Linked DNA regions of Rattus norvegicus. The protein of the gene in region 2 purifies or fractionates together with the protein of the main gene of each other region. This does not show direct contact. Links are inferred from orthologs where the notes say so. Each region holds a gene or a part of one and is shown on either strand. Other genes may lie near its edges.

The links.
Region 1: the proteins of Hip1r (region 2) and Picalm fractionate together in Homo sapiens (co-fractionation; 3 studies listed by BioGRID and IntAct, with this or other methods). This does not show direct contact. The link is inferred for Rattus norvegicus from reciprocal best matches to the Homo sapiens genes HIP1R and PICALM.

Annotation. Positions count from the first base shown.
Region 1 is NC_086019.1:153,527,745-153,537,795, reverse strand, and holds part of Picalm (phosphatidylinositol-binding clathrin assembly protein), read right to left. Parts: intron 6,391-10,051; coding exon 6,283-6,390; intron 4,502-6,282; coding exon 4,370-4,501; intron 4,280-4,369; coding exon 4,249-4,279; intron 4,099-4,248; coding exon 3,999-4,098; intron 1,343-3,998; coding exon 1,319-1,342; intron 1-1,318. UniProt on the Homo sapiens protein: Cytoplasmic adapter protein that plays a critical role in clathrin-mediated endocytosis which is important in processes such as internalization of cell receptors, synaptic transmission or removal of apoptotic cells.
Region 2 is NC_086030.1:38,250,548-38,259,633, forward strand, and holds the end of Hip1r (huntingtin-interacting protein 1-related protein), read right to left. Parts: intron 8,830-9,086; coding exon 8,689-8,829; intron 8,044-8,688; coding exon 7,986-8,043; intron 7,904-7,985; coding exon 7,828-7,903; intron 7,704-7,827; coding exon 7,563-7,703; intron 7,463-7,562; coding exon 7,398-7,462; intron 7,210-7,397; coding exon 7,137-7,209; intron 7,048-7,136; coding exon 6,864-7,047; intron 6,778-6,863; coding exon 6,689-6,777; intron 6,619-6,688; coding exon 6,502-6,618; intron 6,424-6,501; coding exon 6,322-6,423; intron 6,069-6,321; coding exon 5,874-6,068; intron 5,089-5,873; coding exon 4,941-5,088; intron 4,822-4,940; coding exon 4,735-4,821; intron 4,409-4,734; coding exon of another isoform or gene 4,388-4,408; coding exon 4,280-4,387; intron 4,097-4,279; coding exon 3,960-4,096; intron 3,717-3,959; coding exon 3,606-3,716; intron 3,481-3,605; coding exon 3,422-3,480; intron 3,204-3,421; coding exon 3,173-3,203; intron 3,092-3,172; coding exon 3,029-3,091; intron 2,814-3,028; and 13 more. UniProt on the Homo sapiens protein: Component of clathrin-coated pits and vesicles, that may link the endocytic machinery to the actin cytoskeleton. Binds 3-phosphoinositides (via ENTH domain).

The DNA.
Region 1 (10,051 bases), on a different chromosome or scaffold from region 2:
AAAACAGGAAATGTTAATTCCTGCATCTCATGCATTTAAAGGATTGTCAGATTCCTATTTAAAACAAATTGCTAAGACAGCTATGATTAAGTGACATTAATGATTACTGGAAACTGTGAATTAATACTCAGTGAGAAAAATTCAAAATTAGCAGAAAAGCAAAATTGTTAAAAGAAAAAAAAAAAAACCACTTAAGCTTAGACTCGACCTAGTCTACGAACACAACATACTTTACAGCTTATAGCTTTCAAAGACTCTGACAGAGTACTTGTCCTATCCACAGCTATACCAAAATAAGAAAACAATTAGTCTTCAGGTATTTAAAAATATCCAAAAGTTCCAAACTCTAAAGCCCATCATTTTCATAAAAAATGTTTATCAAGAAAAACATAATATGGACTGTTTCTTAATGTGTTTCTTTAGTACTAGAAGGAAAAAACCCTAATGATCCCATATCAATTATGTTAAAAAAAAAAAAAAACACAGGGAGACCTTGAGTTACTACTCCTATGATGACAGCTTTCACATAGGTAGCTGTATTTTAACTTTTTAATTTGTTCTAAAACTATCAAATACTTAAGAGGAACAACTGTAAGTGATATTTTAGTGAGGATTCCTTGTCCTACTTCTTTTATTGATGACTTGTAAACATACTAGAAACATACTATTTTAGATATGGCTGCTGTCTTAACAATATTCCCTACATCTCTCTCATAAAAAGCTAAAATTGAATACAGGTGAAAGACCAAGAACACAGCTAAAATGTTTGAAAACATGAAATTATGCAGCAGTTTGAACATATGCATGAAGTTAACTAAAGCGTAACTATAAAAATAACACTGAAGAGTGGAGTTTAGTATTTAGGTGAGCATGTAGGGAGTATTGGTCTCTCCCTACTGCAAAACCAAGATCTACAAGAGCAGTAAGACAAACTGCCAAGTACAGCAGAAGCCTGGAAGGTTACATGCAATCGTTATTTTAAACATTACCACAGTCAACATTTCTCTTCATTCAAAAGTCATCAAGTGCATGGTGGCAGCACAGATACACACAGACACCCAGCCATCTGGCAGCAAATGGCGGAATATTAAAGCAAGAAAGAAAAATTGGTATTTCCCATGCCACCATCAGAATCAATTCTGCAACACACCCATGAAGATCAGTAGATGCTAGGAATAATTTGTGGCACACTGAAAATCTGATGTGAAAACAAGGAATAGCCGGAAGGTTATGAGATTCTGCTGCAGCGGTGGTTAATAGCATGCCAATTTATTGCAAAAAAAAAAAGAAAAAAAGAGGCTAGTTTTTGGTCACTTACGTATTGTGGAAAATGCATGCCATTCTGTTTTTCCCAGGGAGAACAATTACATAATGCAATAACACTGGATTAGAGCAAGTACTTACACAACAAAATACACAGAGAGCATTTTAGTTTACATGTACATTCACTACCTAAAATTCTGGGTATTTTTATATCTAATAACATTTGTTACCAAAACACTATCAAGGTTGAAAAGGGTTGAACTTAGCTATCTTCCTTTATATACACAATCCTTTACTATCTACAAATGTATTTAAAACAAAGTAGTGACATCAGTTAAGGAAAATTCAAGGGCATTCTCAAAATAATGTGACACCACATGTCTACCACCAGGGCAGGACCATCAATGAAAAGAGTTTGTGGCATAACAGATATTTTAATAAAATAAATGTATTTATTTACAATTTTAAAAATTAAAAACCTTGACAGTGTTTAAGAATTAATCAAAAGGTTAGAAATGTAAAGAAACACCATAAGCAGCAGTTTATTCTCAGTGAGTCACATCACAGGCCCCACATGTTAGCCCTCAAAAAATAAACTATCAACCATACACAAATACCTTAAGATATCTTAAGAGATGACTCACACTAACGTATACAATACACTGTTATTTTGACAATTTACATACAATGCTAGATGGTTAGGTGTTTATTACATTCTAGTAGTCAATTTTAAGGTAAATACTACCTAAAGCTTTCGGATGGATACTGACTTAACATTAAATAAGCAAATACCCACTGTGACTTCATATTAGTTGTAGTACTTACAGCACTGCACAGACATTATTAATGAATAATCCTATCTGCAGCCAGAAAGCCCACTAACCTAACTGTGGCCAGCAGTTTTAGTCACTGAGGAATGCCATAATGGAAAAACACTAGATTCAGAATCAGGTTTCAACTTAAATCAGTTTTTCAACCTCTATTCACATGGGGATTTAAAAAAAGCAGCACAGATAATATTGTACTTCAAAGTGATGCATGCATATATATATATATACATGCATGCTCCAACTCTCCTGAGAGAACACTATATTCTTACACTTACTTTAAGTCATGTGCATATGCTGTGTTTGTATGTAAAAACCTAAACTATGCAGCCAGACATGGTGTTAGAAACCTGTGATTCCAGTATTTGGGAGGCCAAGGGAGAAGGATGGTACATTTGAAGCTGATTTGGACCACTTAGTAAATTCAGAGTCAGTTTGGGCTCTATAACAAAACTTTTGCACAGGCTCACACCTGCCTCCTTAAAACAAAACAAAACAAAACCAACAAAATTAAACTTGAGTCTTTTATTTTATAAAGTCTAAAGCTATTAACTCTTTTAAAAGTAGTCAAGGGCTGGAGAGATGGCTCAGCAGTTAAAAGCACTGACTGCTCTTCTAGACACCCTAAGTTCAATTCCCAGCAACCACATGGTGGCTCACAACCATCTGTAATAGGATACAATGCCCCCTTCTGGTGTGTCTGAAGACAGCTGTAGTGTACTCACTACTTAAAATAAATAAATAAATCTTTAAAAACCCCAAAACTTTTGTTAGTACACAGATTTAGCCTCAGCCCACAATTTTAGCATATAAGCAACCCAAAGTAAAGAGAGCAATATCCTACAAGGGACTTTATTAAACACAATGGAGCTTTCTAACAACAACTGGGCGGGGGGGGGGGGGGGGGGGAGTTAGACTATACAGCACCTAAGTGATCAAAACCCTGCTATCATCCCGCTGAAAGAAAGGGGTATGTATTTCCCTGACTAAGGGAGAAGAAACTTGGTAGACGAAGATAAAGCAGGCCAAAGATGGAAAAGTGGTCATAAGCTATTCTGGGTTCACAATGCCTTACAGTAGTTAAAACATCAATAGAACTTCTTTAGTTCTAGCTGCTACTTAACTAACAAACACTGTTAATATCTGTTTGGTATTAAGTGAACTTTATAATCTCCAAGTTCAACATTCACAGTACTTTCATGAACATGTGCAGAGGTATATAAATTGTTCATTCCTCAGTAAGATGTAATAAATTAGAGGTTCTGCCTCCAAATTTTGGAATTACAGGCCATGCACTAGTATGTCTGGCTTAGAATGCAGCTTTTTAGGATGTGAAATTAAAATGTGAAATATATGAATGTTTCCCCTAGCAACGGCTCACTAATTCAGTTATCAGGGGGACCTCAATCAAATATTGAGTGGCCACAAATAATTGGAATCAACTTCACAAACTATATAATACTAAGAAAACCTAAGAAAATAAATTGTTTACTCATCATCAGGTCTAAAGGATATAAGGATTTTAGGTTACAAAAAAGAAATAAATTTGAGAGCAACAAGACAGTATGATTAAGAGCTCCCTATCTGTTGCTTCTAGGTGACACACTAAGTATGTATTCCATTACTCAAGAACTCTGCAACACTGCTGCACTTCTTAGTAACTGTGTTTGTACCAAGTGGGAGAAAAATAATAGCTCTTATCACAGTCACACAATATGCACTAGAATGATGTCTAGTATGGAATCATTTTAAATACAGGTTAGGGGTTAAAATGTGCCTGACAAAGACAGCCAATCAGCTTTAAAGAAACAGTGAAGTACTTAATAAAACAGTAATAATGTTTCTACTTATGTCTATGTTACATTTTTGTTATAGTTCAGGTAGTAATATGTAACTGTTCCAGCTCACCATTGTTGCAGCACTCCAGGCAGTTGTTGGTGCAACCTTTGGTTGCCAGTTAGATCCTCCAGTTAACTTCTTTTCACCTGGTTGACTCCAACTTACATCACTTTAAATGAACACAAACACACAATGTTTCTGTACAATATGAGCATACTGAGCATTTACAGTACCAAGCTGACATCGCTAAATGTACGTCTGAAGTGATGGTAACATCAGGTTCTATCTAATAGTTAAATAAGACAAATAAGACACTTACTTCTTAGTGGTTCCATTTCCAATGCCAAGATCTAAGAAAAGAGAAAAGTATTTAAAAACTAGAATCATATTAATAAACAACTTACGCTTAAGGATGACTGAAGAAGCAAAGGACTACTTACTGCCCACAAGGTTGGCTAAAGATGAATCCAAGTCATCAGACACTAATTTGTTAGGCGCAAGTTTGGCAACAGGAAGACTCTGGTTCTGAGAGGCCACTGTTGGTTTGAGAAGTCCACCTAGTTCATCAAAGCCTTAAAGTTACAAACAGATGAAATGGGATGCGTAAGGAACTTCATGGGCTACAGCTTTCTAAGGAGTTCTCTCCCTTTTCTCCTTGTTTACTCACTGGAAGTTTTCCCAGAACACGGGAAATGCCCTCACGTGGAAAGAAGAAAAATCTGCCATCTTCAAGTGAACGTAACAGAAATAGTATGCCTAAGATCTAATGACAGAATCATATCCAGGTTAAAGGGGGCGATAACAAAACACTATCAAAGGGGATTGTAAATCTCTCCCTATTCCAGCACAATTTTCCTAAACACTCAATCCTCAAGTCCCTTTTTATGTTGAGAAAGAATATTTTATAATGTCTTACATTGGAGCTGAAGAAATGGCTGAGAGATTCTCTGTAGGCACATCAGGTGGGACCACTGTAACCTGAGCCCAGGGTGCCCAATGTCTCTAGCCTCTGCAAGCACTTGCACTCATGTGCAGGAACCTGCCCACCTCTGTACACACAATTTTAAAATATTAAATCTTTTAACTTAAAAAAATAAGAAAAAAAAAAAAAGGTTGACAGGTCTTCACTGCATAGCTCTAACTGGGCCAGAACATCTATGTAGACCAGGCTGACATCGAATTCAGAGGTCTACCAATCTTTGCCTTCCTAGTGGTGGAATTAAAGGCATACCAACATGCTCAGCCACAATAAACTGTTTTTTAAAAAAACATGTATGTGTATGTGTCAAAGGAAAACCTGAAGGAGTTTATTCTCTCCTCCAATGTGAATCCTGGAGACTGAACTAAGGTTATGAGGCTTTGCAGTTAAGCATCCTTACCACTGAGCCATCTCACATGCCCAAGAGGGCATACATTATAGAGAGCTTCTCACCCTGCTCCTACGTCAGGGACTGGAGAGATGAGTCCCTTGGTTCCCTTTACCACATGGTGGCTCACAACTGCCTACTATAACTCTAGTTCTAGGGAATCCAATGCCCTCTTCTGGCCTCCAAATGCGCCTATGTGCACATGCAAATGATCTTTCAAATATAAAACTATAAACCTATTAGTATACACTAAATAAAGTCTTTGTCCATGCAAACAAGCTTGCTTCTTACTTTATGGATAACTAATTATATATTATGTAACTAAAAACACCTCAATATGTTTTAAAGTTAAAATTTAATTGTTAGTCAAAGTCAGTGGTCATTTCCTTTTAGGAGTAAAATTAGAACATTAAAGTTCATATGTACTTTATAAACTTCAAGCTAACAAGAAACAAAGTACAATCCTCATTCTAGAGTTTTATAGTTTTTAAAATACAAATTAGTAGGTGTACCTTAATAATAATCACTATTAAAATAATTTCCAAAAAAGCCTTTAACCTTTTAACATACTCTACTTACTTATGTAGAACCTATCTAAACACGTCAGGGTACTACTCACTATGTCCTCAGTTTAAAAAATAACCTCACACACTGTAATACTGAATGGTCAGTATTCACTTCAGCACAAAAAAAATTATGACTGAAAAGCTATATAGCACTTTCCAAATAGTCACTAACAATTTAGCACTTTACCAAGAAGTTGTTCTCTTATTGTGCAATGGAACAAAGAAAACTTCTCTAAACTCTAAAATGCTACCAAGAAAAAGGTAAAATTAATACTCTAAGTTCCCATCAAGTGGTTTGGGGGAAGAAGATCAATTTACTCTAACTTATAAACACTAAAAGCAGCATCACGTTTTCTATAGAGGATCTACATTAAAATGCTATCATATTTTAAATAAAAACAACAAAAATTCGTTTCTTACCACCAGAATCTACAGCAACATTCGTAGACTTATTTCCAAACACAGATTCAAAGTCAACATTAAGGCCAGCTGAAGGATGTGGCTGTGTAACCGGAGAAGGACTGAATCCTAAGAAAAAGCAAAATGCAAAAATCCTCAATTCTCTACATACTACATCAATAGTTAAATATAAATGTGAAATATATGAATTACCTTTAAATTCACTTAATTCACTTATGAATTACCTTTAAATTAATTTAAATCACTATAAATTACATTTAATAATGGTAATAGAACTGGGAAAGTAATAAATTCCTTAACAAAAAAAGCTAGTTTTTAAAACAAAAGTTTTATCCATTAGATATCACATTCCTGTTTTTTAAAGACATAGTATCACATTGTGGTCCAAATGATCCTCTTGTCTCAGCACCCAAATGCTGAGATTATAGGTATGAACCATCAACACCAGCTACATTTCCATTAAAATCTCCCACTAAGAAAACGCAGAATAAACAACATATATTGAACCATGAGTTTACTTCATCATAGAAATGAAACTTTTTCCTGTATTTTATATTAATTTTGCATCTTATAATTTCTTAAAACATGAAGTCATTTAAAACACCATGCTATCTCTCTTCCTACAACCTTCTGTAGTCTGTATCTCTTACCTACTTTCGCTTTCCCTACTTCACCCAAATGGTCACAATTAAAAGAAAACGGTTTTCCTGTTACATTTATTTGTGTGTGTCTGTGTATATGCTTGTGGGCATGCATGTGCTACAGTCAGAAGACAACTCTGAGTGTTAGTTCTTTTTTTCCACCATGCAAGTTTGGGATACAAATTCAGGTCTCACTGCTTGGCAGAAGCCACCTTTAACCCACTGAGCCGTATCACTGCCCCCAAAATTATATGGTTTAAGATAATCTGAGAACTGCCAGGATTCTAAAAGTTGCAATCTCACAAATGTTTCTGCCTGTTTTTAAAACATATTAAAAAAAAATTCTTCTTTCAACTCCCATTTACTCTCTCAATTCACTTACCATTTTTAACAATAGGAATGACGGGTATGGGACCAAGTATGTTAATTAACCTAAAGCTAGCCTGAAACACAGCCCCATACAACAAAACAACCTCACTTTCTAATTTTATCCCGGACCTAATAGTGCTATCATAACAAGTACCAAGATTGAGTCTTGGAGGCCTGCTAATGCCGAGTAAACATAAAAGCTTTAATTCTCAGGTTATATTTTCCTAAAGTTGAGTATGTAAAATTATAGAAGCTAAAAATAATTAAAAACCATCTAAAAAGGTTACCTATTGCATGACTTGAGGAGCTTTGAATCACTAAAAATATTTAGGTAAATAGTCTGCAAAGGATCCCAAAAAGAGATTCTTATATGAGGCTGTAGTGACTTTCTTCTAAAATCTCTTGCTTCCTAGGTTCTATCAAGTCAGAATGAAAAAAACATAAATAAAAGCACCTGATTTTAGAAGGTTAGCATTTATATCAACAAGGGAACTTCTCAAGTTCTACACAGATTCTCTTTCTCCCAGAGAGGAGACCCATCTTCAAAACCTCACTTAATTTCCCAAGGATATGAAGAACACTGCTGGCTTAAGCAATTTTAAGAGTTTTTGTTTCTTACTTACTCTTTCTCTGTGTGTGTGTGTGTGTGTGTGTGTGCGCGCGCGCGCACACGTGCACATACATAAGCAGGATCCTGTGGAGTAAAAGGCATCAGATCTCCTGGAACTAAAGTCACAGACACCTGTGAGCTGCCATGTGATCTGAGAACTGACTGGATCCCCTGAGAAAGCAGCCAGTGCCCAGCCCCTCAGCTATCTCTCCAGCCCTCCAATGGCTTTTTGATACCCTTCCTTACAAAGTGTTGTACATATTAGTGATCCCAGTTTAAACTAGTATCTGCGGTTATAATATGAATATTTAAGATCCATAGGTTTTTAAAGCCTTGTTTAAACCCTTAAATTACTTTTACTTTAAAAACACTGGTCTCAGGATGTGAAACAAATACATAGTATAAAATCATTTAGTATTTACATCTTTTGACCAGTCTTTCAAAAGGATCTCAGAATTCTAGACTCTTGGATTTATTAACATTATAAGTGTTCAACACTTTAACATTCTATGGGCTTAATAATAGTTCTTATCAGAGCTTCTTTTTTAAAAAATATTTCTTTATTTCTTTCTTTCTTTATTTATTTACTTATTATGAGTACACTATAGCTGTCTGTCTTCAGACACACCAGAAGAGGGCACCAGATCTCATTACAGATGACTGTGAGCTACCATGTGGTTGCTGGGATTTGAACTCAAGACCTCTAGAAGAGCAGTCAATGCTCTCACCCAGAGCCATCTTTCCAGCCCTTCCCATAGCTTCTTAAGTGCAAAACATTATAGTGCTTACACATGTGCTCATGTTACCACCACATTGTAAGATGTATGCTACTTCAAGGACTTTTGGATTAATCTTGGCTAAAGGAACACTACCCTATTGGCCATATACGTAACAATAATTTATATCTAGTACATTATAGCTAATGCTCAATTTCTTTTATAATGTCCCTTTATAGCAATCTTAAAACAACTTCATTATTTCCTATTATAGGAGAACCATCTTCTCAAGTCTTTAAGGTGATTAATTGAATAACTAAAAAATAATTAGCTATAAGTACAAAAAGAAAGGTTAAAAAGGAAAAAAAAAAAAACAACACCAAAACATGTACCTCAAGTCTAAAAAAAAAAGATCCTACATAGACAAAAATGTAATTTCAAATAATTTGTAATAATGTCTGGGGAAACATATTTCTAAGATAGTCATCTTTTCTGTATGTACATGTGCATGTACACATTGATATAGGTAGATAAATGTATAATAAATGTACATATAAGTTATAATTATATTAATTATAATAACTGTAATAAAAGTAAAGATATGATTAACATAACATTCTTCTGTCACTTTTTCAGTTACTTAGCAGGATTCTCAACTTAAAAAGCTACTTCAAACAAAAACACAAAACCTCAATGTTGAGCCAACGAGATGGCTTAGCAGGTAAAGATCTTGCCATGGAAGTCTCATCCTGAGACCAATCACCAGAACTCCATAGCAGAGAACCAACTCCACAAACTAACCTCCATGTCAGGGCATGGCATACACACACCACACAAACACATCCTACAAACATATAGGTACATAACACTGAGGAAAGCTACAAAAACAAAAACACTTTCAGAGAGTAGAAGCAGAAGGCATCTGGGGCTAATCTGGGCCACATGGTGAAACACTACCTCAACAAACAATAAGCAAACAACAAACCCAACTAACACCACTACTTCAAAAGATACACTCTAAGGAGAAAGAGGAAGGGAGACAGAGAGAAGAGAGGGAGAGAGGAGAAAAGAAGGAGGGAGGGGAAGGGAAGGAAGAAGGGGAGAGGGAGAGAGGAGGAGGGAGGGAGAAAAGAAAGAGAAAGAACCTACTCTTGCTTTACCTAAGACCCTGAGAAAACCGTCATTGGTCAGCACCAATCCACAGACAAATATTTGGAGCCAATCTCATAAGGACATAATATATGAACTGAGAGGCCCAAAATAACTAGCACTGGGACAGAAAAACATCCCAAACACCTTTTAAAACAGGCTAGCAATCCAGGGACTAAGCCACTACCCAAAGACTATACATGGACTGACCCTGGGCTCCAACCTCATAGGTAGCAATGAATAGCCTAGTAAGAGCACTAGTAGAAGGGGAAACGCTTGGTCCT
Region 2 (9,086 bases):
CTGTAAAACAGGATTCAGACCCGGCAGCTGACTGGAGATCAATCTGCAAAGCATTTGCCCAGCCTCCCTGGTGAGCTGGCTCTATCTGGAGAAGGCAGGCTTGACAGTGGGCCTTGACTCTCCCGAGAGCACACACCATCTCGTGTCATACAAATGCCGAGTAGGGATGAGGAGTTGAGCAGTGCTCTCTAGAACACGGAGTGCGTGACATGCAGGTCAAGGTCCTACCTCACCCACCAGCTCAGACACTACAAGTCTGGACTTAACTGTAACACATGCTCTCAGGTGTGGCGACTGGTGTTAACTCCCGGTGAGACCCTAGGGAGATCACAGGGGTTCCAGGCTGGAATAGCGAGGGCTCGATTAGGGAAGCCTTGAGTAAGGATGGTCTATAGCAAACTATGGAAAGACTGGTGCCAGCTGCCAGCTGCTCTAGCAAGCAGTCCTCAGGTCCCAGTGTCAACTGCAGACAGTTACACAGGGCCAGACCCGTGTGTGCACCTCTGGAGAAATGACAAGCCTGGCGGAGGCCCTCACTAGGGCACTGGTAACAACAGTCAGGGTTTATTGCCAACAGGACTCAACAGGAATACTAGGCCCAGGGCAAAGGAGTTGGCTCCCTCCCGACGCCCGGACCTTGCCCCATGGTTGGTAGCCACCCAGGGCTCAGGGCAGGCAGCTGGAGGAAGCTGGGCACTTGTCCCAGACCAGCTGCTGGCTTTATTGGTGGCCTAGATATCCCCACCCCCAACAACTCCCCCTCGGGCTCTAGAAACACAAATTTATTCAAAGTGTCAGGAGCAGGGCAGGCCAGGCCAGGCCAGGCCTCCGAGCCTGGGCCTCCGAGCCTGGGCCTCTGCAGCAGGAATTCCTGAGCCTCCAGAAACATGGGCTGTGACATCTGCTTTTTTCCTAGCTTCTAACTGGCTGGAAGGCCCCAGCTTTAGGAGGGCTGAATCGGCCATCGAGGTGGGCAGTGGACTGCCACACTAGTAGCCAGAAGGATGGAAACAGCAAGGGTGAGGGCGGCTTCCAGGTCTTCAAGGCTAGAGACAGCACCTGAGCAGGGGTTGCCCACAGCCATGGCACCCACACAAAGCCTGCTCTCCTGGGGCTCCCAGCATGGGTGCCCTAGCACCAGGCCCCCAGATGATGACCCCAGCCAGCCTACCTGCTCTCCCTGGCTCAGGGGTCACAGGTCATCCCCTTATCCCCGATAGCCAGCAGGGACCCTCTTTCTGTTGTTCACTTGTGGTCTCAGACTTTTGAGTCCAGAGGCAAGGAGGCCCTGGCTTGTGGCCTTTTCCCAGTGTGCTGACTAAACTTACAAGGAAAGAAAGAACTCGCAGCGTTCAAGCCATCTCAGATGTCCGCTGCAGATTTGTGGCTCAGGCCTGCTGGGTCCCAGCTGCTCTGGGCAGTTCCTACTAGAGATAAATAGAGTCACATCCACGTGAACTGTCCCACAGAGACCAGGCCCCTTGGGCAGGTGAAGGCTGGGGCCTTAGGGACACTGCTTTGGGCTCCAGGTGCAGGAGTTGGAGGCCTTTCAGAGGCCCCTTGACCGCTGCCAGACAGCCACATGAAGCCCAGGCATAGCCCCCAGCCAAACTGCTGAACACCTTAGGGGGCCTAGTAGTTCACAAGTTGAGCTGGGTAGACACCATCCTTCTTGTCGAGCTGCAGGGATCAAAGATGAGGGGCTCAGTAGAGGAGATAGAAGCATATGTACCACTGAGTGAGTGTAGCCCCCACTCCACTGCTGGCAAACTCCTCCCTAACCCAGCACCAATGCCTGGTACCTGGTTGTCCGGCCTGGGGGCTATGCTGGGTTTCTGGGCAAGAGGTGGCTTCTTAGTGGCCCCACTTCGGGGAGCTGGGCTGGGTCTGCTGGGTTCTTCTTCGCCAGGTGTCCCCATGCCCCCCGCCAGTACATAGTGCTGCTTCCGAAGCTCCCCGAGCCGTACGCGCTCTGCCTCTAGCGTCTTCTCCAGCTCCAAGACTCGCACCTGTGGGCCACAAACCCAACTCAGCGCTGCCCTGAGATCTTCCCCGGAGATCAGACCCTGGCAGCAGTGGGTGTGAGGGGCGAGGGGCGCACCTGTGTCTCCATCTCCTGCTTCTTCAGCTTGATGAGAGACAGGCCAGAGAAATCCATGGTGTCTGTGGTCGGGGGGGGGGGGGGGGGAGAAGTGAGTAGCTGAGACACCCCTCCCACCAGCTCTGGGAAGCCCCTTTCAATACCCGAGAGCTCGCCTCTGTCCTCGATCTGCTCCTGGCCAGACTTGGTGGAGGCCACCACATTGGCAGCCCTCTCGTTGACAGTGCGGGAACACTCCTGCAGGCGGCTCAGGTGGGGACTGTTCTTGTTGGCTTTTACCTGCAGGGAGCAGAGAGGGCATGGGTTGGTTGGCTGTAGGCAGCAGGTAAGGGCCCCGAGCCCAGGCCTGGCACACGTCAAACCTGGGGTGGTTAGAGGTCAGCAAAGCCTCACCTTCGAGGCTGCCACCAGCTGGGCAGTGCTGGCTGCAATCTCGTGTGAGCAGACGATGAGTTCCTCATATTTGCCCATGTGAAGCACAACCTTGTCAGCTGACTCCCTGAGGGATCAGGCCAATCTAGAGTCTGGGTTTCTGTATCATGAACAGTATGGCAAGCCCCACACCCAACCTTAACACCTTGCCCATCCCACCCAAACCCGGGTTGACATACACCAGCTGTGTGGCTCCCCAGCCCACTGCCTTCGAGGCAGAGATGAGGCCTTCAGTCCACCGTGAATTCTTGGCATAAAATTCCTGCTGTGTTGCTGCCCCCTAGTGGTAGTGGGAGAACAAGACAGGATGGTCCAATCAAGGACATTTTGGATCGTCCAGAGGCACACCCGAGACCTCCCTGAGACCTCCCTGAGATGTGGGGGCTTTTAGCTGTGGCAACAGACTGTGTTTGGGGGATGTCATGCACAAAGGAGTCAGGGGATCAGAGTTTATTTCTCTGACCCAGCCATGAAGGCTGCCAGACCACAGCTTACCCTGCCGCTCTCCACAATCTCCTTCTGCAGGCTGGTGGACGTCATCACCAGGAGCCGGATGGCCTGCCAAGACCAAGATGAGTGTGACTTTCAGGGTGGTCCTGGCACAAAACCCGCTCGGAGTCACTCACCCACTGCACTCACCTTCATCAGATCTGTGCAGGAGTTGAGGATCCTAGGGAGAGGCAGAGAGGAGAGAGAAGACAGCTCTGAAGTGTAGCCTTATGACATAATGCAGGCTTGGCCACACCAGGGCAGGGCAGGGCAGGGCAGGGGGTGTGCAATTTCTTGTCCTGCCCCTTTCTGGACTGCTCAACAGTCAGGCAGGTGGGATCTCATGGGTCCAGGGAAGCCGCTTCATGCTGGGGCTTTGGGGACGGAAGCTGTACTTACCTCTCGTTCACCTCTAGTTTCACCCCTGAGCTCTCGTGGCGGGCCTGGTTCATCATGTCCTGTACACAGTGACAGAGAATGAGCCCGCAGAGTCCAAGAACATCCTATCTGTCCCTGCTCAAATGCAGCTCTAGCCCCCTCAGTTCCCGCAGGAATTGGGAGAGTCCTGACACTCAGCCATCACCTCGATCCTCCGCACAGCGTCCTCAATGGCTGCAGAGGTGGCTGCCATCTCCTTGTCAACCATGGCCCCTAGCTCCTCTTGCCGGACGTCCAGGCTCTTAGGCTTCAGGTCCTGAAACAAGAGTCAGACATGTAGATTCAACTTCATCAGGGCCCAGGGAAAGATGGGCAGGAGGCAGACGACCAGGGTGGCAAGGGTGGTGTGTGCAGGTTCAGCCTTACTCACTGAAGCTGCAGCTTGTGAGCGCGCGCACACACACCCGTGAGCACACGCACCTGCTTACCTCCCTCGTGGAAAGGACAGATAAGTTAGCACCCCTTCAGCCCAGCTCAGTGCCTTGGCCGCACACCTCACCTGGCCCAACTGAAGAATGCCCTGCAGAGGGGCCCGCATCAGGCTGGGCTGGGCCCTCGGTAGCTTTGTCTGGTCCTGCAGCTGTCCCATGAGCTCCAGAGCCCGGGCTCCACACTCCCTGCACGTGTCGATCAGGCCTGTTGGGGTAAAGGGAAGGTCTATGAGGGGAACCTTTGCTTAAGAGTCCTGGATAAGGTCCCCACATGTCCTGGCCCAGGACTTGCCCAAAGGAAGGCCCTCCTTTCCCCTGAACACTGTGAAGACCCTCACTGTGTGAGACAAGATGAAAAGGCCACACCCTGTCACCATGATCTACTTACGGTCAGCGGGGTCAGTGGGGGCCAGGTGCGAGGTGGCGCCACCGTTGACAATGGTGTCCGCGGCCAGATGGGAGAAGCGGGTCAGTGCTGCTACCAGGGCGGAAGCATCTGCAGGGACAAAGGCCAAGGCTGCGGGTGGGAGCGATGGGGTATTTGTGTGGGGAACACCAAGACGAGTGTACCATTTTCTCAGTGAGTCTGGGCTAAGGCTCCAGCACCCCAGCATATGAAAACAGGGGGGTGCTGAAAAGGCTAGGCGGCCACCAAGCAGAGTCAGGGTGACTCCAGACCCCCTGTCCTCCACTTCTGCAGATCACTAATGTCAGCCAGGTAACAGGCACAAGGCTCTAAGGAGCAGCACGGTGCCTGTCTCCTCGGGAACCCCACACCAGGTGCCTCTAGCTGCAGTGACCCCACAGAAACGGCAGATTCACACCACCCCCAGCCGTACTCACCCTCAGAGGAAGCCAGGTACTGGGTGTGGCCCTTCTCCAGGCCACTCACGCTGTCCAGGGCTGCCTGAGCCCGGCTCACTAAGTAGTCTGCAAGCAGAGAGGACAAGCACCTCAGCCAGGGCTTCTAGGGCCCGGGTGGCGGGTGGTGATGTCACTGGCAGGTGAGCAGCCATCTGCACAGAGGGGGAGGTGCCCGCAGCACAGACCTGGGGAGCTGGTGCAACGGAGGTGCAGGGGGTCATCCAGCTTGCTCACTGCGTCCTGCAGGATGGCCTCCGCCTCGGCGGCTGCACCTCGCAGCACTGCAAACTGTTCATCCAGCAGCTTCTGCTGGAGCCCCTGCTCCTGAGACTCCTGATGGGGAGGTGGGACCTTCAGACCCCCAAGGCCCAGGGCTTCCCTCCGAGGACTGACAGTTGACAGTGACTGCCCCCAACCCGCTGACCCCCTGTGGAAGGATCCCTGATCCAACTGGGGTGGAGATTTCTAGACCATCTCCCTACCTCCTAGGACTTGGAGGACTCATGTAGGGAGGTGGGGACACAGGACAGGGCAAACAGAGTGAGAAACAGCCCAGGACCTCGACAGACTTATCCCAAGGCCACTGAGCACACAGAAAGATGTTCTATGGGCTGCCAAGATGGCTCAGAGGGTAAGGGTGCCTTCCACCAAACCTGACAACCTGAGTTCAATCCCTGGGACCCAGGTGGAAGGAAAGAACTATTGCAGGTTGACCTTCGATCCCCATATGTATTCCCCCGCCCCCGAACACAATAAATACAACTTTAAAAGTAAAAGGATATTCAGTATCATTAGGCGACTAGAAAATGCAAATCAGAATCGCAATCAACAGCCCTGGGTGACAGAACACACCCAGCACTCAGAAGGCTGAGGCAGGAGGACTACCCTGAATTTGGGGCAAACCTGGAGCCTTGAACCCATACAACTGGTCACAGTGAGAAGACAGTAATGAGAACTTGGAGGCCTGGTCGGGAGGAAGCCTGGGGCTTCTTTCGGAGAGCCGAGTCTGTCTCGGCAGTAAGGGCGCCAGGTCCTGAGCGCGCAGGGTGAATGCTGACTCGCCCATACCAAAAGGGTGAGTTCCCCACAAGGAGGACGGCAAGGTGGAGGCCTCGTACCTTTTCTGCCAGCCGCCCCTGTAGCTCGCCCTTCTCCTGGGCGCTGCGCTGCTGCTCTTGGCTAAGAGCCTCTTCCTTCTCCCGCACCAGGCTCTGGGCAGCCAGCAGCTCTGCCTCACGCTGCCGAATGGCTCCGCTCAGTGCTTCCTTCTCTGCGTTCAGTGTATCTAGCCGTGAGCTCAGCTCTGACCCACTCTGTGAACGTGAAACATGTCAACAGCCATGACGAACCTACCTGGCCTTACTCCCTAAGTTACAGCCTACCACGCAGGGCGGTGTCTTATTATCACTGCCTCCCAAGACACGAGAGCTTCCTGAGGGTCAGGCCTCCACCTGGCCTCCTTGAGGACCCACGGCCACATAAGTATGGCCCAACCCACAGGCCAGGGGACCTGGCTTGTCCCAGCCTGACCCCAGCACCACTGGGGAGCCCCTGGCTAGCAGGCACCTGTTCCGTGCGGCTCAGGGCCTCCTGGGCATGGGCCAGCTCTCCTGCCTTGGCCACCAGCTCCCTCTTGAGCTTCTCCAGCTGGTCACTCTGCTCCTCCATCTAGGACAGGGCTGCGTGTCAGTAGGGCAGCGGGGCAGGGAGGTGCGTGTGCGGGGGCGGGGCGCGCACTGAGCACACCTTCATCTCAGACTCCCGCTTCACTTGCTCCATCTGGAAGGCCAGCTGCTCCTTTACCCGTGCCACCTCCTCCTGGCTCTGCTGTGTCACCGTCAGCTGCTTGGCTGTGTCTGCATTCTAGAAGGCAGGGCACGGGTTCTGACTCTGGTCCCGGCCCACACCGCCCTTCCTGAGGCTGGGCACCCACCTTCCTGAGCAGCTCGGCATGCGTGTTAATGAGTTCATTGTGCTTCTCCTTCAGCTTGCTGTAGCGTGCCTCAGTGGCACTGGCCTTCCCTGCAGAGAGGCGAGGCTGAGTGGAGTGGGCAGGCAGGGTAGGCTCTGCCCCTCACCCTTCGCCAGGCGCCACCCGCGGTACACACTCTCCGCCTCCTCTCGCAGGCCCTGGTTGCGCGCGCCTTCCAGCTGCAGGGCTTTCAGCTGGGCCAGCTCGTGGCGCAGCTGCTCGTTGTCCACCAGGGCCTTCTGCTTCTGCTTCCGCTGCTCCTCCAGCTCTGCCTCCAGGCTGTTCACCTGGCCCTTCAGCTGCGAGATGTACCGCTGGGCCTGCAGGGCAGGGAAGGGAGCGTGGGTCCCCGGCCCCGCTGGCTGCGTGGGGACCGCCGCCTGGGGCCCCCCGTGGCCACACCCCTCACCTCCATCTTAATCTTCTCCAGCTCAGCACGGAGGGTCTCCACCTCTCTCTTCAAGTTCTCAATCTGGAGGTCCCTGGAGACAGAGGTCCTGGGCTCAAGTTCATCAACCAGAAGGTTCCAGACTGCCCAACTCAGATCTCAGATGTCACTAGTAGCCGCTCAGGAGTGGGGTGTTTCATTTCTCTTAAGTTCCTACTGTGGCCTTTCCAGGCACAAGGCTTTTTCTAGCCTCCCCATCCCAGCTGGCCCCTGGGGACTCACCTGTCATCCTTCATGGAGCCATTGGGGGGTCCAAAGGTCTGATCAAAGAGGTCAGCCACCACCTGCTGACCATAGCAGAGAACATGGACCTGTGACCCGGGCACCTATGCCCTAGAGGCACCCTACATTTTACCCAGCCTTGGGGACTAGCAGAGAGGACCTTACCACTGGCTCCCCAGCAGGGGGCCCACTGCTGATCTCAATTAGGTTCTCAGGCTCCTCCTCCTCCGGGGCCTCTTCTGGAATCACCACCACCGGCTTGATGTGCTCAGCCAGGGCTGAGGCCCGCAGGAAATTGGGGGGTCCCTGTAGGGACAGTGTTTGGAAGATGCTCAGCAATCCCCACAAGACTTTTGAGAACTCATCCAGAGCCTGCAAGGAACCAGGGGCTGCTGTGTGGGGCGGGGGTGGGGGCAGCGGGGACGGGCACCTCAGGCAGTCTGGGGATCTGGATGAGTCGCTTGAAGTAGAGCATGTCCGAGGCTCGGCGGAAGAAGTTTCTGAGACTGCGGGTGGAGGGAGACAGGTCAGAGAGGGCATCAGGCCTCTTTCCAGCCGTGCTGTAGCACTGCTCCCCAGGGTTGGTACCTGTGAAACTGCTCGTGGAACCGATCCCTGTGGCCTTGCAGGGTGTCTGCTGGGAGACCTGAGGGATAGCACAAGTCAACAGTGCTTCCTCTGCACGCTGCTCTGAGGCCTGCTTTCCCTCTCTGCCCCTCAAGTTTCCAGACCCACTGCCGAGTGGAGGGGTCCCTGTGGCCTGGCCAGTCCACCCTAATTGGGAAGGGAGATGAGACTCCATGGGGTCACCTTAGCTCTGACGCAGGCCAGAGAAGGTGGCACTGAGCAGACACCATCACTGCCCTTATTATCCGGGCCAAAACTGCCTACCGGCGCCTGGCTTTGGAATGCTCTAAGACCATGGACCATGGAAGTTGCCCTGAGCCAGCACACACAATCTGAGAACCTTTCCTGAACACTAGTGACAGGCAGCCTTTCACTCCTGCTCCCCAGAACACAGGGAGGGGCCACTGTCCTACCTACGCCAGGTATGCAGGAAGCCATACAAATGAACAGCCCTAGACATGAAGTCTCTGCTGTGGAAAACGGTCACCTCCCCCCCTTCCCCCCTCCCCCCACCATCACCCCATCCCCCCAGAAACACATTACTGGTGTTAACAGGGAAGGGTGTACAGGTTCTCTTTCTAAACTAGTAGTCTCTCAGCCCTTCCTTTTAGTAACATGGATGGATTCAAGGCCTCATGGGCCCTGTCAGGACGGCACAACTCACAGGAGTGGAGCTTGAACATGAGCTTCACCGTGTAGTGGTACAGGTGGCTGCAGTCCTGGATGACCTGGATGAGCGGCGCCAGGCGACACTGGCCAGAAGACATCTGTGACACTGCGATGGCTGTGTTGAGCTGCCGGAAAACTGGGGAAAGGGAGCAAGTGGAAACCAGCATGAGCAGATGTGGCTGGCGGTGGGCTGTGGTGTGGCCCCACACCAGTCCACTTCAGTGACAGCTCAGGTATTGGGGCTCTGGAGTCAGTGAGTGGCCTCCACTGTGCTGTCAAAGCCATGGTAAAGGTTTATGATGCCTGGGTCTCTAATCTGGGCCTTCAACAGTATGTTGTAGGCTGGGACTAGTGCCCTTTGGCTGGTGGCTATCCCACGCTGAGGACAGACCC